Linked DNA regions of Elephas maximus indicus. The protein of the gene in region 1 interacts with the protein of each later gene in a biochemical or structural test. Links are inferred from orthologs where the notes say so. Each region holds a gene or a part of one and is shown on either strand. Other genes may lie near its edges.

Evidence for each region.
Region 2: of the proteins of CASP3 (region 1) and HCLS1, one has a biochemical effect on the other in vitro, tested with the Homo sapiens proteins (2 studies listed by BioGRID). The link is inferred for Elephas maximus indicus from reciprocal best matches to the Homo sapiens genes CASP3 and HCLS1.

What each region holds. Positions count from the first base shown.
Region 1 is NC_064839.1:83,406,671-83,414,275, forward strand, and holds the start of CASP3 (caspase-3), read right to left. Parts: upstream 3,054-7,605; 5' UTR 3,038-3,053; coding exon of another isoform or gene 2,985-3,037; intron 230-2,984; exon of another isoform or gene 200-229; 5' UTR 26-199; coding exon 1-25. UniProt on the Homo sapiens protein: Thiol protease that acts as a major effector caspase involved in the execution phase of apoptosis. Following cleavage and activation by initiator caspases (CASP8, CASP9 and/or CASP10), mediates execution of apoptosis by catalyzing cleavage of many proteins.
Region 2 is NC_064819.1:12,176,141-12,183,433, forward strand, and holds the start of HCLS1 (hematopoietic lineage cell-specific protein), read right to left. Parts: upstream 3,009-7,293; 5' UTR 2,901-3,008; intron 1-2,900. UniProt on the Homo sapiens protein: Substrate of the antigen receptor-coupled tyrosine kinase. Plays a role in antigen receptor signaling for both clonal expansion and deletion in lymphoid cells. May also be involved in the regulation of gene expression.

The sequences.
Region 1 (7,605 bases):
TAGCTGATAGTGGATCTCCACACATCTCTCTCCTCGCTTTCTGTTCTCTGTCACTTTCTTATTCCATTTGATGCTACGTTGCATTATCTCTTCATTTGATGCTTAAGGTTCCAGGATTGATGTTTTCTCTGTTTTAGTTTTTTAGGTCTTTGCGATGGAGGGACAGTGTGGTGCTTCTGTCTATAGCGCCATGTTTGCTCTGCCCTCGAATAGGTTTTATACTTTAATTCTGTGAAGTATTTTATCCTCCAAGTTAAGAGCAATATCTTGAAAATTACCCCCAAATTATAGGAAACCAAAAACATGCAAATATGACTCAAAGCACAATATTTATCAAAATTCATAAATTGTTCCTTAAACTCTATGAGCTGAACAAACTAATAATTTATTAATACATAAAAGCACTATTATAAACAATTGAAAATACTTGTTTGGAGATCATTTATCCAAAAACCACAGATCTGCAAATTTTTTCTTAAAGGGCAAGATGGTATTTTAGATTTATAGGCCATAGAGTCTCTGTTGCAGCTACTTAACTCTGCTGGTGAAAACAGCCCTGAACAATATGTAAACGAATGAGTGTGGCTGTGTCCATAAAACCTGACAAAAGCAAACCACAAGCCTGACCCTGATCTAGACCAAGAATCAGGAAATGAGAGGTCAAAAAACAACAAAAAAAAAATGCAAACCCATTGCCATCAAGTCAGTTCTGACTCATGGTGACCCCACGTTTCAGAGTAAAGTTGTGCTCCACAGGGTTTTCAATGACTGCAATCTTTCTTTATAAAACTAAATCACACAGTCCTTCTTCCATGGCACCACTGGGTGAATCTGTACCACCAACCTTTTGGTTAGTAGTCTAGTACAAAACATTTGCACCACCCAGAGACCCCTAGATAATGAGTCACAGAATTATAAGCCCCATTTCCCTCCTAAAGAGACAGGCGGCAATGTGTGATAGCTAGACTGAGAGTGGACACACCTGATCCTGATGAAGAACAGAGACCCAAAATGCTTGCAAATGTGAAGGTAACTAATCATAGGACCATAATGGTCCTAAACCTGTTTTGGGCTCCCGAGTAATTTGCTATTTAAGTGATGTTCTATATGATAATGAAAAGTAGGAAGGAAAATGTGTAAATCACTTTACAAAGGTTTCAAAAACTACTTTAATGGAATTATATTTTAAATGGAATTACATTTCAAAGGCTCAATTTCTAGGATAATTCCTTTACCTATAACCCAGTTCCCTAAAGGTAATTAAACACTGAAAAATCTTTATTGGAAACCCTGGTGGCATAGTGGTTAAGTGCTACAGCTGCTAACCAAATGGTCGGCAGTTCGAACCCACCAGGCGCTCCTTGGAAACTCAATGGGGGCAGTCCTACTCTGTCCCATAGGGTCGCTGTGAGTCAGAATCAACTTGATGGCAATGGGTTTGGTTTTTTTGGTTTTAAATCTTTATTGACAACTTGTTAACAATATTGCTGTAATAATATTGTTTAGTACTAAAATTAATTTGTAATTCTTGGGTTAACCCAGAGGATATTGAGTCCCTGAAAGAAATTATTAGAATTAAAAGTATCACAAGAAATTCTAATCGATAATAATAGATATGAATTAAATTAAGAATATTTGAGTTTTAACTTTTTCCCCTCCTGAACTTGATAGTTACTAGAAGCATTTATAATTACAATATTCCAAAAAGAAAGACCAGAGAAAAACAAAGGGTAAAAGATAATTCATAACTAGGCACTGAGACCCCCACACTTCATCTGTCAGTTTATTGTACTGTGGGGGCTTGTGTGTTGCTGTGATGTTGGAAGCTATGACATTGTTATTCAAATACCAGCAGGGTCACCCATGGTGGACAGCTTTCAGCTGAGCTTCCAGACTAAGACAGCCTAGGAAGAAGGACATCATGATAAACGGAGAAACATCATGATAAATGGAGAGAACACCGAGGTTGTCAAGGATTTCATTTTACTTGGATCCGCAATCAACACCCATAGAAGTAGCAGCGAAGAAATCAAAAGACACATTGAACTGGGCAAATCGGCTGCAAAATACCTCTTTAAAGTGTTGAATAGCAAGGAGCACCTGACTCAAGCCATGGTGTTTTCAGTAGCATCATATGAATGTGAAAGCTAGACAATGAATAAGAAAGACTGAAGAAGAACTGACGCCTTTGAATTGTGGTGTTGGCAAAGAATATTGAATATACTGTGGACTGCCAAAAGAACAAAAAAATCTGTCTTAGAAGTACAACCAGAATGCTCCTTAGAAGCAAGGAAGGCAAGACTGCATCTCACATACTTTGGACATGTTGTCAGGAGGGATCAGTCCTTGGAGAAGGACATCATGCTTGGTAAAGCAGAGCGTCAGCGAAAAAGAGGAAGGCCTTCAACGAGATGGACTGACACAGTGGCTACAACCATGGGCCAAAGCATAGCAACAATTGTGTGAGGACGGCACAGGACCAGGCAGTGTTTCATTCGGTTGTGCATAGGGTTGCTCTGAGTTGAAACCAACTCGATGGCATCTGACAACAGGCAGTGAGAGCTGCCGTTTCATTTTAGTCTTAAAAGTTATACATTAACAGGAGGCCAAAAAACTTCCCACAAACACAAAACCTATAATCCTTCAGCAGAGCAATCTGGGAAGGTACAGAACCAACTAAACTTGTGGGTTTGGTTTTTCCTGGTGCATTCTTTCAGTTCCAGGACTGGGTTTCTGACTATGGGACTGACACCGTGCTTGATCTTTAGATGCCTCCCTTAATCCTCTTCACAATTCCACGAAAGTTATAAGGATGAGATTCAGAGAGGTTAACTGTGTAAAGTCACACAGCTGTCTGAGGGAAGAAGTCAACTTGGTCTCTCTGGCTAGAAAGCTCATATACGCTCTGCTTCCCCACTCCTCAGTTTGCCATTTAAACATACCGATTTTTCTCTGATTATACAGGGTTCCATTTAAATACTCACGTTTCCAAATTTTTAATGGATTTCGAATCCACCGAGTTTTCAGTGTTCTCCATGGATACTTTTATTAACTAGAATATAAAGAAAATAGAAGTCAATCAAAATCAGCCATTATAAAACCACTAAAACCACTGCACTATATTCATTATCCGAATGATTATTTCTGCATGTTAGTACTTTATATGAACATTTTTGTATCAGCATTACCACCCTAACCCAAGCTTCACCTTTATTGCTAAAGGTTTCTGTGAGCTGAGCAATGTCCTTTCTACTTCCTTCCTTTCTTCCCTTTAACCAAGATATTAACAGTGAAGTACACAAAGTGCACAAATAAATGTGCACCTGGATAAATTTTTACATTTGTATGCCCCCTCCCACATTAAGATATAGATTGCAGCTTATTTCTGTTTCAACAGATCAGGCCATTTTAAGAACGCAGCCCTTCAGTCAATAAGAAGACTTTATACTATTTTCACCTTGCTAAAAGAAAAAACAAAGAACTTGGCACCAAAATGGTATAACTCACATAACACTAGTATACGATGCTTAAATTCCCAAGAGGTACAGTACCAGGAAATTCCAACCTACCACAGAATTTTTATTCTTAAACTGGGCTTTGGCATCCCAACTTCTCATTTAGGGTGGTGAATTGGTTTACGAAACCTGGAAGTATAAGCTAAAGTTTCTTCTTTCATTCTTTCACCTCACACAGTGAACAAGTCCTTGTAAGCAGCTACTACTTACCGAGCACTTATTACATACTAGGTACTGTGTTAACCAAAAAAAAAAACAAAACCAAACCTGTTGTCATCAAGTCGATTCCAACTCATAGGTACTGTGTTAAGCATCTTTAATTTTTGGAACAATCCTAAAAGTCAGGAAACGCAACCCCTACTGAGTAACTTTTTCTATGACACAGAGCTACGTGATGGAGATCCAAGGCTTTCCCTGCCACTCTGCTCTACTGCTTCTTAAGAAGCTTGGTCCTTACTACTTGTCTTCTAGAGTTCTACTTTGTCTCCTCTAAGCTATCCAGAAGCAAAGGAACTTTCTAGGCAATTGTGATGGTTAAGATTATGTGTTAACTTGGCTGTTTATGGGTGATCACCTTCATGATTGAATCTGCTGTAAGTACTCCATCGGTTGAAAGGGATTTTCCCTGGGGATGTGGCCTACATCCGAATATAACCAGACGTTTTAGCTTTTTTGCTCACTCTGGATCCTACGGCTGTCTCCTGTTCGTCTGACCTCCGGCTCTTGGGACTTGAGCTATTAGCTTATCTGCAGATTTTCAGATTCATCGATCTTCACAGCCTGTGAGCAAGAGCACTGTTCTCAGACCTGCTGATCGTGGGTTCTCCAGCCCCTGTGGCTACGTGAATCAAGAGAAGCCTCTATCCTGATCCACAGACTTGGGATGTTCAAGCCTCTACATTCGTGTAAGCCATTTCCTTGATATAAATCTCTATGTATATATTTATATATTTTACTAGTTCTGCTTCCTTAGAGAACCTAGCCTCAGACATTTGGCACACAGAGTGGTTCTAGAGAAACAGAATTGTAAGGATGAGTTTCCTAAATTGGTTCTCAAGTCTGGTTAGTCTTAAAGATGTTGATGACTCTACTTCCAGCAATAAAGAGGGCACTGCTAATTCATGGCGTGAGGTGGCAATACAATTATGCAAAATATCACCACCAGTAGATCAGGTATTGGTGAAAGGCAAGGCTCTGGATGAACACACGTGATATCTTTCTAAATTTTGTTAGAATGAAAAGTATAAGAAAGCTGGTAGGTTGGTAGGTAGACAAACTGGTTAAAGAGATGTGCTCAGGGCTTCAGAGTTAAAGCTCAAGTGCCACATATATGACCTCAATCCTTCCACTTGTGATTTGAAAAAAAAAAAGCCTTATTTCTTGTAGTAACAGAGCTGAAATTTCTGGAAACCAAACTCAGAGTCTTACTGTAAGAGTGACTGAATTACAAGCCCAGCTCAACTGTCAACCTTGAGAGGAGTCTGAAGTTAAAGTAAGGGCATTGGGAAGAAATGGGATCCTGAAACTTGGGATGGGGACGTATGGGCAGATAATCAGGAAGCTGGAGACACAGCCCCTATATTCCATTAAATCATTCCTGCCAGCAGAACCAATCCCAGCTGAAGAGATTACTTCATGTTTCTCTGCTAAACCACTCTGCCCAGAAAAACCATTACCTCCTCCACTCCTATCTAATGAGATTAGCCCTAGCCCAGCTGCCTCTAAAGAGCCCTTGCCTGAGTCACTGCCTGGGGCATTGACTGAGGCAGATGCTTTACAAGACAATGCTGAATGTTCTCAAAACAATTTCACACTATGGATTCTGGCTTCTAGACCTGTAACTAGACTTAAGTCCCAGCCAGTCCCAAAAGGTGAAGTACAAAGTATGACTCAGGAGGAGGTATGCTACATTCCAAAAGACCTGCTTGACTTTTCTAATATGTACCAAAAAACACCTGGGGAATGTGTGGGAATGGCTATAAAGGGTTTGGGATAATGGCGCAATGAAGATCGAGATGGATCAGTCTGAGTTTATTGATATGGGTCCACTAAGCACAGATCCTTTATTCCATGTTTCAGCTCAAGAAGTTAGGAAAGGATCTAATGGTTTATTTGTTTGGGTCCCTGAAGCATGGATTACGAGGTGGCTTACACTAAATCAAGTTGAAGTACTGGATCTACATTGGTATACTGTAGAAGAAGGTATCCAAAGGCTTAGGGAAATTGGTATGCTGGAGTGGATTTATTAGGTTAGACCCACAGACTCACACATGGAGTACCAGAGGACACACCTTTTACCACAACTGTGAGGAACAAATTTGTGAAGGGAGCTCCGGGATCCTTGAAGACTGCTGTGATTGCTATCTTAAGTAAATCAGATTTGACAGTGGGAACTACCCTAACTGAATTAAGACACTAAAATGAAGCTCACTGGACCCTGTGATAGTAGGGGCCAAGTGGCTGCACTCAATCGACAAAGACAAGGTGGGTGTGGTCACAGTAGTGGACTGCAGAGTCAAAGCAGTAATCAGAAAATCTGCCTTTTATGGACTTACAGCATTGGCTACTTAGTCAAGGTGTTCCTAGGAGTGAAACAGATCGGAAGACTATGAAATATTTACTTGATCTGTACAAACAGATGAATTCTAGTTTAGATGAATAGCAGTGTAACTTGAATGGGCAGAATAGAGAGTCACTAGTTAGTTCCCAGCTTTGAGTGAGTCTAAAGACCCACAACCCCTTGAATGAAGGAGAGGCTGTGTCCCCTTGAGGAATGACTCCAATACACTGCTAAAAACTTTTACTGTTAATTTTTCTCCCAGCTTTCCCCAAAGGGATCTACGGCCTTTTATGAGTGACTGTTCATTAAACCAAAAACCAAACCTGTTGCCGCCGAGTCGATTCTGACTCACAGCGACCCTATAGGACAGAGTACAACTGCCCCATAGAGTTTCCAAGGAGCACCTGGTGGGTTTGAACTGTCGACCTCTTGTTTAGCAGCCGTAGCACTTACCCACTACGCCACCAGGGTTTCCAACTGTTCATTGAGGAAAGGGAAATAATCAGACTTTTCAGGGATTACTGGACACTGGCTCTTAACTGACACTAATTCCAGGAGACCCAAAACTTCACTGTGGCCCACCAGAGTAGGGGCATATGGAGGTCAGGTTATTAATGGAGTCTTAGCTTACGTCCATCTCACAGTAGGTCCAGTGGGTCCCCAAACTCATGCTGTAGTGATTTCCCCAGTTCCAGAATGCATAATTTAAATAGATATACTCAGCAACTGGCAGAACCCCCATATTGGATCCCTGACAAATAGAGTAAGGGCTATTATGGTAGGAAAAGCCAAGAGAAATCCTTAGAACTGGCCTTACCTAGGAAAATAGTAAACGAAAACCAATACCGCATCCCTGGAGGTACTGCAGAGATTACTGCCACCATTAAGGACTTGAAGGATGCAGGGGTGATGATTCCCACCACACCCGCATTCAACTCGCCTATTTGACCTGTGTAGAAAACAGATGGATCTTGGAAAATGACAGTAGATTATTGAAAACTTAACTAGGTGGTTGCTCCAATTACACCTGCTGTTCCGGATGTAATTTACTGCTTGAGCAAATTAATACATCTCCCGGTACCTGGTATGCTGTTATTGATCTGGCTAATGCCCTTTTCTCCATATACCTGTTTCAAAGGACCATCAGAAACAGTTTGCCTTTAGCTGGCACGGCCAGCAATACACCTTTACTTGACTACCTCAGGGCTACATCAACTCTCCAGCCCTATGTCATAATTTAGTCCGCAGGGTCCTTGATCAACTGTCCCTTCCACAAGATGTCACACTGGTCCATTACATTGATGACATTATGCTGATTGGACCTAGTAAAGAAGAAGTGTCAATGACTCCAGACTTACTGCTAAAACAGTTGCGTGCTATAGGGTGGGAAATTGATCCCACAAAAATTCAGGCACCTTCCACCTCAGTGAAATTTCTAAGGGTCCAGTGGTGTGGGGCATGTCGAGATATCCCTTCTAAAGTGAAGAAGAAGTTATTGCATCTGGCTGCTCCCACAACTAAAAAGGAGGC
Region 2 (7,293 bases), on another chromosome or scaffold:
CTCACAATCGTTGTTATTCTCGAGCTCCTTGTTTTCTTACAGCCACTGTGTCAATCCATCTCACTGAGTCTTTCTCTTTCTCACTGACCCTCTCCTTTACCCAGCATGATGTCGTTCTCCAGGGACTAGTCCCTCCTGGTAACATGTCCAAAGTATGTGAGACAAAATTTCACCATCCTTGCTTTTAATGAGCATTCTGGCATTACTTCTTCCAAGTTTTTGTTTTCTGGCAGTCCATGGTATATTCAATATTCCTTGCCAACACCATAATTCGAAGACATCAAGTCTTCTTTGGTTTTCCTTATTCCTTGTCCAGCTTTTGCATGCATATGAGGCGACTGAAAACACCATGGCTTGGATCAGGCACACCATGGCTTGGATCAGGCACACCTTAGCTTTTTAACACTTTAGAGAGTTAGCACTGAGTCTGCTTATGGGGATGGAAAATATGGCAAAGGATGTTGGTGATGGTTGCACAGAATGATTGATGTAATTTGTTTCATTGACTTGTACAAGTGACAAATGTTGAATTGGCAAATGTTGTGTTACCTCTATTTTTACAACACAACAACAAAAGGCACTTTTGCTCAGTTTTGGGGGGCTTAATCAAGAGAAACTGAGTCTGGAGAGAAGTCATCTTGGGTGTAGGTACTGCTAAATAACCTGGATGTCAAAACTTCTGGGATTGTTTGCCTGTGTCCAGAGGCCAGCCAGGCAGCAGCTTGGGGTGGTATTCAATGACAGAATGACATCTGTAAGAAGGAGCAAGGGTGGGGGAGCCAAGACCATCGAGGGCGCTGGGCACACAGAGCACAGGTTTCTAGAGATGATTCCTTTTATAGTTGTCGAAATAGAAATTGGTCCAGTTCCTGCCAAAGTGAACAGCCTCTACACTCCTCTCTACAACCCACACAACTCTATTGAGAATTTTCCCAACACCCAGTCCAAGTACCATCCCACCTCCTCTCTGAGATAGCCTGTGGACAGCTGCTTGAGGTCATTAGGGGCAGTTAGCTGAAATTCCTACCCTGAGCAACGCGTGGGGAAGCACTTCACTATTCACTGGCGGAAAGTCATTTCTTTCCAATTTTTAAGAACAGTTCAATTATACCTCTAAAGAAGATAACTTGTTCAAAACATAACATGTAAAAATCTGTATTTTGAACATCAGAGGTATTCAACTTTTATTAACTAAATAAATGCAAAAGAAATACTTTGAGTACACTAGCTTGAAGGGGGGCCAAATTGTTGCTCTGCGGGGCGTCTCCAGGTCAGCCTGCCGGTGACGCGGGGTGGGGAGGCTGCACAGCTACTCTGCATCTGTGGGTCCCAGACCTTGGTGTGAGGAGGTGACAGCAGACAATGCTCACCCACTCCACAGAGACCTCTCAGCCCTGGCACCACTTGCTAGCTGAAAACTTTCCTGCCCATCTTTCCCTGCTCAGACACCTCGCCCTACTCTCCAGACATTCTCCCGCGCTCTTCTTTGTCTCTCAAGGGAGTCCCTTTTACAAACACTTTCCTGTCTGGTCACGTAGGCCCTCAGATTCTCCTTTCTAGTTTTCTATTTCCACTTGAAAACTCCACCCTTCTCCTTTTCACGCTCTTTGAACAACCAACCCCTTGGAAACGCCATCTAAAGGGGTTTGGGTGTAAAGTGGGAAAAGGAGATGCTGAGAGGACACTGGAGGTGTTGACTGAGGCACCTGACTGTAGTGAGTCACTGCAGACAGAGCTCTGCCTCCCCTGCCAAGGTGGTGGTTATGGCCTGGGGCAGGTAGTAGAGACCTATGATCCTGTATCCTTTCGCCCTTGTCTGCTTCTCATGCCCTGGCTCCTGGACTGTGCTGCAGCAACAGGACTTAATACAGGACACTAGAAAGGAGAAGTTTCTGAAATATTTGTGCGTGATAAGGAAGCAATGAGAGCCAATGGTCCTGTCGTCTGCCCTGCTGTTCCTCCGAGGCCTCGGCCCAGCTCTTTCAGAAATCTCCAGTTTTTACCCATTCTTGAGATAAAGAGAAGAATTTCTGACATAGAGATGATGTGGTATCTTTGACCTACTGGCCAGAAATAGGGAAGCCAAGAGGTGCTCTCTAGAAATGGGAGACTGAAGAGGAATGTGTTTGAGCATGAGTCTTAGGTACAGTCAAGGGTCTCAACAGGAGACTGACTTAGAGCATCAGTACACTACATGGGCTGGGAGTCAGAAGACCTGGTGATCACCCCTCTGGGAACACGGGTAAGAGAATCAATGTGAAGTATGTTCTCATGCGCCAGGCACCAGTCTAGTCACAAATATTGACTCAAATAATTTAGCGAGTTACTGAATAATTGTTGATTCTCAGTTTTGCCGATGGAAAATCAAATGAAGGGGTCAACTTAGCTAACCTATAAAGTTGCTTCCATTTCTGACATTCTGGGATTCTGTGATCCTGCAATCACAGAAACTAGTCCCAGCTGAACCACCACGCACTCCCTCACCTTGGTTCTCAGCACAACTGTACATTAGCTAGGGCTTCCTGATCAGTTACACCATTTCCTATGTGGGTTTTATGTCCCTGGCTAGACCATACGCTCTTCCAGGGCAGAGACTTGTCTTCATCTCCTGTGGTCCTCCTTTCAACCCAGTGCCTAGGAGGGCTGGAGATTGTCAACAGAGATCAGACAATACTTTGTGTGGTCTGGGTCCTGGCTGGCTGCTGAATTCTGCTCCCCTGGGTTTTAGCCCTCCCTCTGTTTCCATCCACAGATGCTCATTACCCGCAACCACTCACATCCTGGCCTTCTGGCCATAAAAGCTTAAAAAGGCTAATAGCAGTGTCCCTCACCCCTATCAGGTAGGTTCCTCTTACTTCCTCTCTTGCTCCCCAACTCCCCTCACTGCTCAGCGCACCCACCTCCAATAGTGTGAGTGTCTGGCTCTCAGATCCCAGCTCCTCAAGACGACACCCGGCTCCCTTTCTGGCTGCTGCCACTCAGATCAAGAAATTCTGAGCTGCTGCTTCAGTTCCGTTATTCAGGTTTGCTGTCATTTCCTGCCACCCTGTCTTCACAGCTACTTCCTGAAGTTTGAGTCAGTTCCTTCTTAACCTAAAAAACTCATTGCCGACGAGTCAATGCTGGCTCATAGTGACCCTATAGGACAGAGTAGAACTGCCCCGCAGGGCTTCCAAGGCTGTAAATCTTTATGGAATCTGCCACATTTTTCTTCTGCAGAGCAGCTAGTGGGTTCAAACCACTGACCTTTCTGTTAGCAGCTGAGTGCTTAACTGCTGTGCCACCAGGGCTCCTTTCTTTATGCTTAGGGGCTTGACTTTAAAAGGATTAAATGATCCTGTGGTTACTCTTTTGCAAACTTTGAGGAGCATGAGGAAGTGATAGAAAATGCTGCTCTTATTCAGAGTTTATAGTCAGGGAAGCAAAACATTCAACCAGAAAACATGAAGAGAATGCTATAGTACTGCATTTGTGTCCTAAATGTGGTAGGCAGCTGCATCTATTGTAGTAAAGGAATTCAGAGAAGAATTTGGGGTGGGCCATTCCAACTCAGAATTTGGGATGGGCCATTCAACCCCACGTGTGTCAAAGTAGAGCTGTGTGCTCCACAGGGTTTTCAATTACTGAGTTTTTTTTTTTTTTTTTTTTTGGAAGCAGATTGCCAGATCATTCTTCCAAGGAGCCTCTGGTGGACTCAAACCTCCAACCTTTTGGTTAGCAGCCAAGTACGTTAACCATTTCCACCCCCCAGGGACTCGAGGATAGGCTATACTGATCAAGAAACGCTTAGTGGGAAATTGATTTTATGTAGCTCGTGAAGGTTAAGATTGAAAAAGAAACTCTACTTCTACACTGCTTACAGCACTTAAAACTTAAAACTGAGGTTTGCATGTAGTAAATATCCAAAAAACATTGATGCACTCAATGAAATAATAAGGGAAAAACTTATTAGGGGAAAGGAAAGACATGGAGGCAGAAAGGTTCATGGCTTGTTTGCGAGAGTTAGGCATCTGAGCTAATTGTAAAAAGATTTGGTTCCATATAGGAGGAACTTTGAAAGAACCCAATGGTACTGGATGATAGACAGTCTTTGTGGTATTCTGTGTTATTGCTCATCAGGATTTGCTGCTCCCAACAAATTTGAAAACCTAGAGGAAATGGACAAATTTCTAGAAACACATTACCTACTTAAACTAACACAAAATGATGTTGAAAATCTGAACAGACCCATAACAAGAGAAGAGATTGAAAAAGTAATAAATTTTTTTTTTTTTTTCCCAACAACAACAAAAAGAGCCTTGGCCCAAATGGTTCACTGGAGAATTCTACCAAACATTCAGCGAAGAGTTTACACCAGTACTACTCAAACTATTTCAGGACATAGAAAAGGAAGCAACACTTTCAAATGCATTCTATAAGCCAGCACTACCCCGATACCAAAACCAGGCGAAGACACCACAAAAAAAGAAAACTACAGACCAGTATCTCTCATGAATATAGATGCAAAAATTCTCAACAAAATTCTAGCCAATAGAATTCAGCATCATATCAAAAAAATAATACATGACCAAATAGGATTCATACCAGGTATGCAAGGATGGTTCAACATTAGAAAATTAATCAACATAACCCATCACATAAATAAATGGAAAGAGATCATCTCTTTTGATCATCTCAATTGATGCAGAAAAGTTGCTCAACAAAGTCCAACACCCATTCCTGATAAAAATTCTCATTAAGATAGGTATATAAGGGAAATTTGTCAACATAATAATGGGCAACTGTGCAAAACCAATGGCCAACATCATTCTTACTGGAGAGAGGCTGAAAACATTCCCCTAAGAACAGGAACAAGACAAGGATGTCCTTTATCACCATTCCTATTTAACATTGTGCTGGAAGTCCTAGCTAGAGCAATAAGGCAGGAAAAAGAAACAAAGGGCATCCAAATTGGTAATGAAGAAGTTAAATTATCCCTATTTGTGGATGATATGATATATGCATAGAAAACCCAAAAGACTATACAAGAAAACTACTGGAACTAATAGAAAAATTCAGCAGAGTAGCAAGATACAAGATAAACACACAAAAATCAGTTGGATTCCTAAACACCAATAAAAAGAACTATGAAAGGGAAATCAGGAAAGCAACACCATTTACAGTAGACTCTAAAAATATAAAATACTTAGGAATAAATCTAACCAGGGATATAAAAGACCTAACAAAGAAAGCTACAAAACACTACCACGAAAAACCAAAAGAGATCTACATAAATGGAAAAACACACCATGCTCATGGAGAGGTAGACTCAACATTGTAAAAATGACAATTCTACCCAAAGTGATTTACAAATACAATGCAATCTCAATCCAAATACCAACAGCATTCTTTAGAGATGAAAAAACTAATCATTAATTTTACATGGAAAGGGAAGAAGCCCCAGATAAAATAAAGCACTATTGAAGAAAAAGAGTAAAGTAGGACTCACGCTACCTGACCTTAGAACCTACTATACAGCTACGGTAGTCAAAACAGCTTAGTGCTGGTACAAAGACAGATACGTTGCCCAATGGAACAGAATTGAGAACCCAGATGTAAATCCGTCCACCTAATCTTTGACAAGGGTCCAAAGTCCACCAAATGGGAGAAATGGCAGTCTTTTTTAACAAATGGTGCTAGCAAAACTGTATGGCCATCTGCAAAAAAATGAAACAGGAACCATACCACACACCATATACAAAAACTAATTCAAAATGGATCAAAGACCTAAATATAAAGCCAAGAACTATAAAGTTCATAGAAGAAAAAATAGGATCAACTCTAGAGGCTCTAATACATGGCATTAACAGGATACAAACCATAACTAATAACACACAAACTCTAAAAGATAAGCTAGAAAACTGGGATCTTCTAAAAATTAAACACTTATGCTCATCCAAGGACTTCACCAAAAGAATAAAAAGGCAACCTACAGACTGGGGAAAAAAAATTAGCTATTACAAATCCGACAAAGGTCTAATCTCTAAAATCTATAGGAAAATCCAACATCTCTACAACCAGCCAGAATGCTCCTTAGAACCAAGGTTGGTGAGACTATCTCTCACATACTTTGGACATGTTACCAGGAGGGACTAGTCCCTGAGTCCGTGGAGAAGGACATCATGCTCGGTAGAGGCTCAGTGAAAATGAGGAAGACCCTCGGTGAGATGGATTGACGCAGCGGCTGCAACAATGGGCTCAAACATAACGACTGTGAGGATAGCACAGGGCCGGAAGTGTTTCGTTCTGTTGTACATAGGGTAGCTATGGGTTGGGACCAGCTCAACAGCACCTAACAACAGTCAGCTGTATGCTGTTAGAGCTCCCTTTCTCCACTCCAACCCAGAGGGATCTGTAAAGGCCTAATGTTTTCCATTCTGTACCAGACAAGAGTTCTCCCAAGACCATCCCCTGCATATTCTCTGCTCTAATGCTTCATGAACCTCACGCTTTAAGGCCTGGCCTCATTGGTTCAATGGCAGGATGAGATTTCCTCATTCCATCATTCCAGGACCTAGTGGCTAAGGCTGGAAGGACAACATGCAGCTATTACTGATGCTGGCCAGTGAGGAGGCCTGAGTATGTCGAGCTTTCTCCCCATGTATTCACTCCCAGCTACCCCACCCCTACCTTTTCCTCTAAGTACCTTCCTTCTCCAGCATGCAAACACTTGTATACAAGTACCCATATGTTCACATACATGCACACACTACCACAATTCTTCATTCTGAAAATAATTTTATTATTTTACAGTTCTTCAGGAACATTCCTGGGATGATGTGACCAAGGCTTGGTCACCAGAGGACAAAGGATTAGAGCAGAACAGCCAGTCCACCAGTCTTCTCTCTCCTTTGGGTGGTGCGAGCAGCCATGAGACACATCATGTGCACAATAAGGAAAAATAACTAATGGGCAAGTGTGGCGGGGCGGGGTCCAAGGAATAGGCACAACTGGAATTTGATACTGGCTGTCATTCTCAGGCCTAGATTTAAATATCTCATCTTCCCTATATTCTCCTTCCATTTGTCTTAGGTCTCTGTTACCACAGAAGGCTGATGAGCATGGGGCTGAGAAACTGGAATAACCATCACCAACAGCACAGCAGCTTAGCTCTTCAAGAAGCCAGGAGTGGCAGCGTGACCCCTTGTCAGACACTCCTTGGCTGGGGCTCACTGCCTCACCTACGTTGGCCCCTGTTGGCCCCCGGGGCACTGTCTCAGGGTACACATTCAAGGCATGTCCAGATAAGGCAGG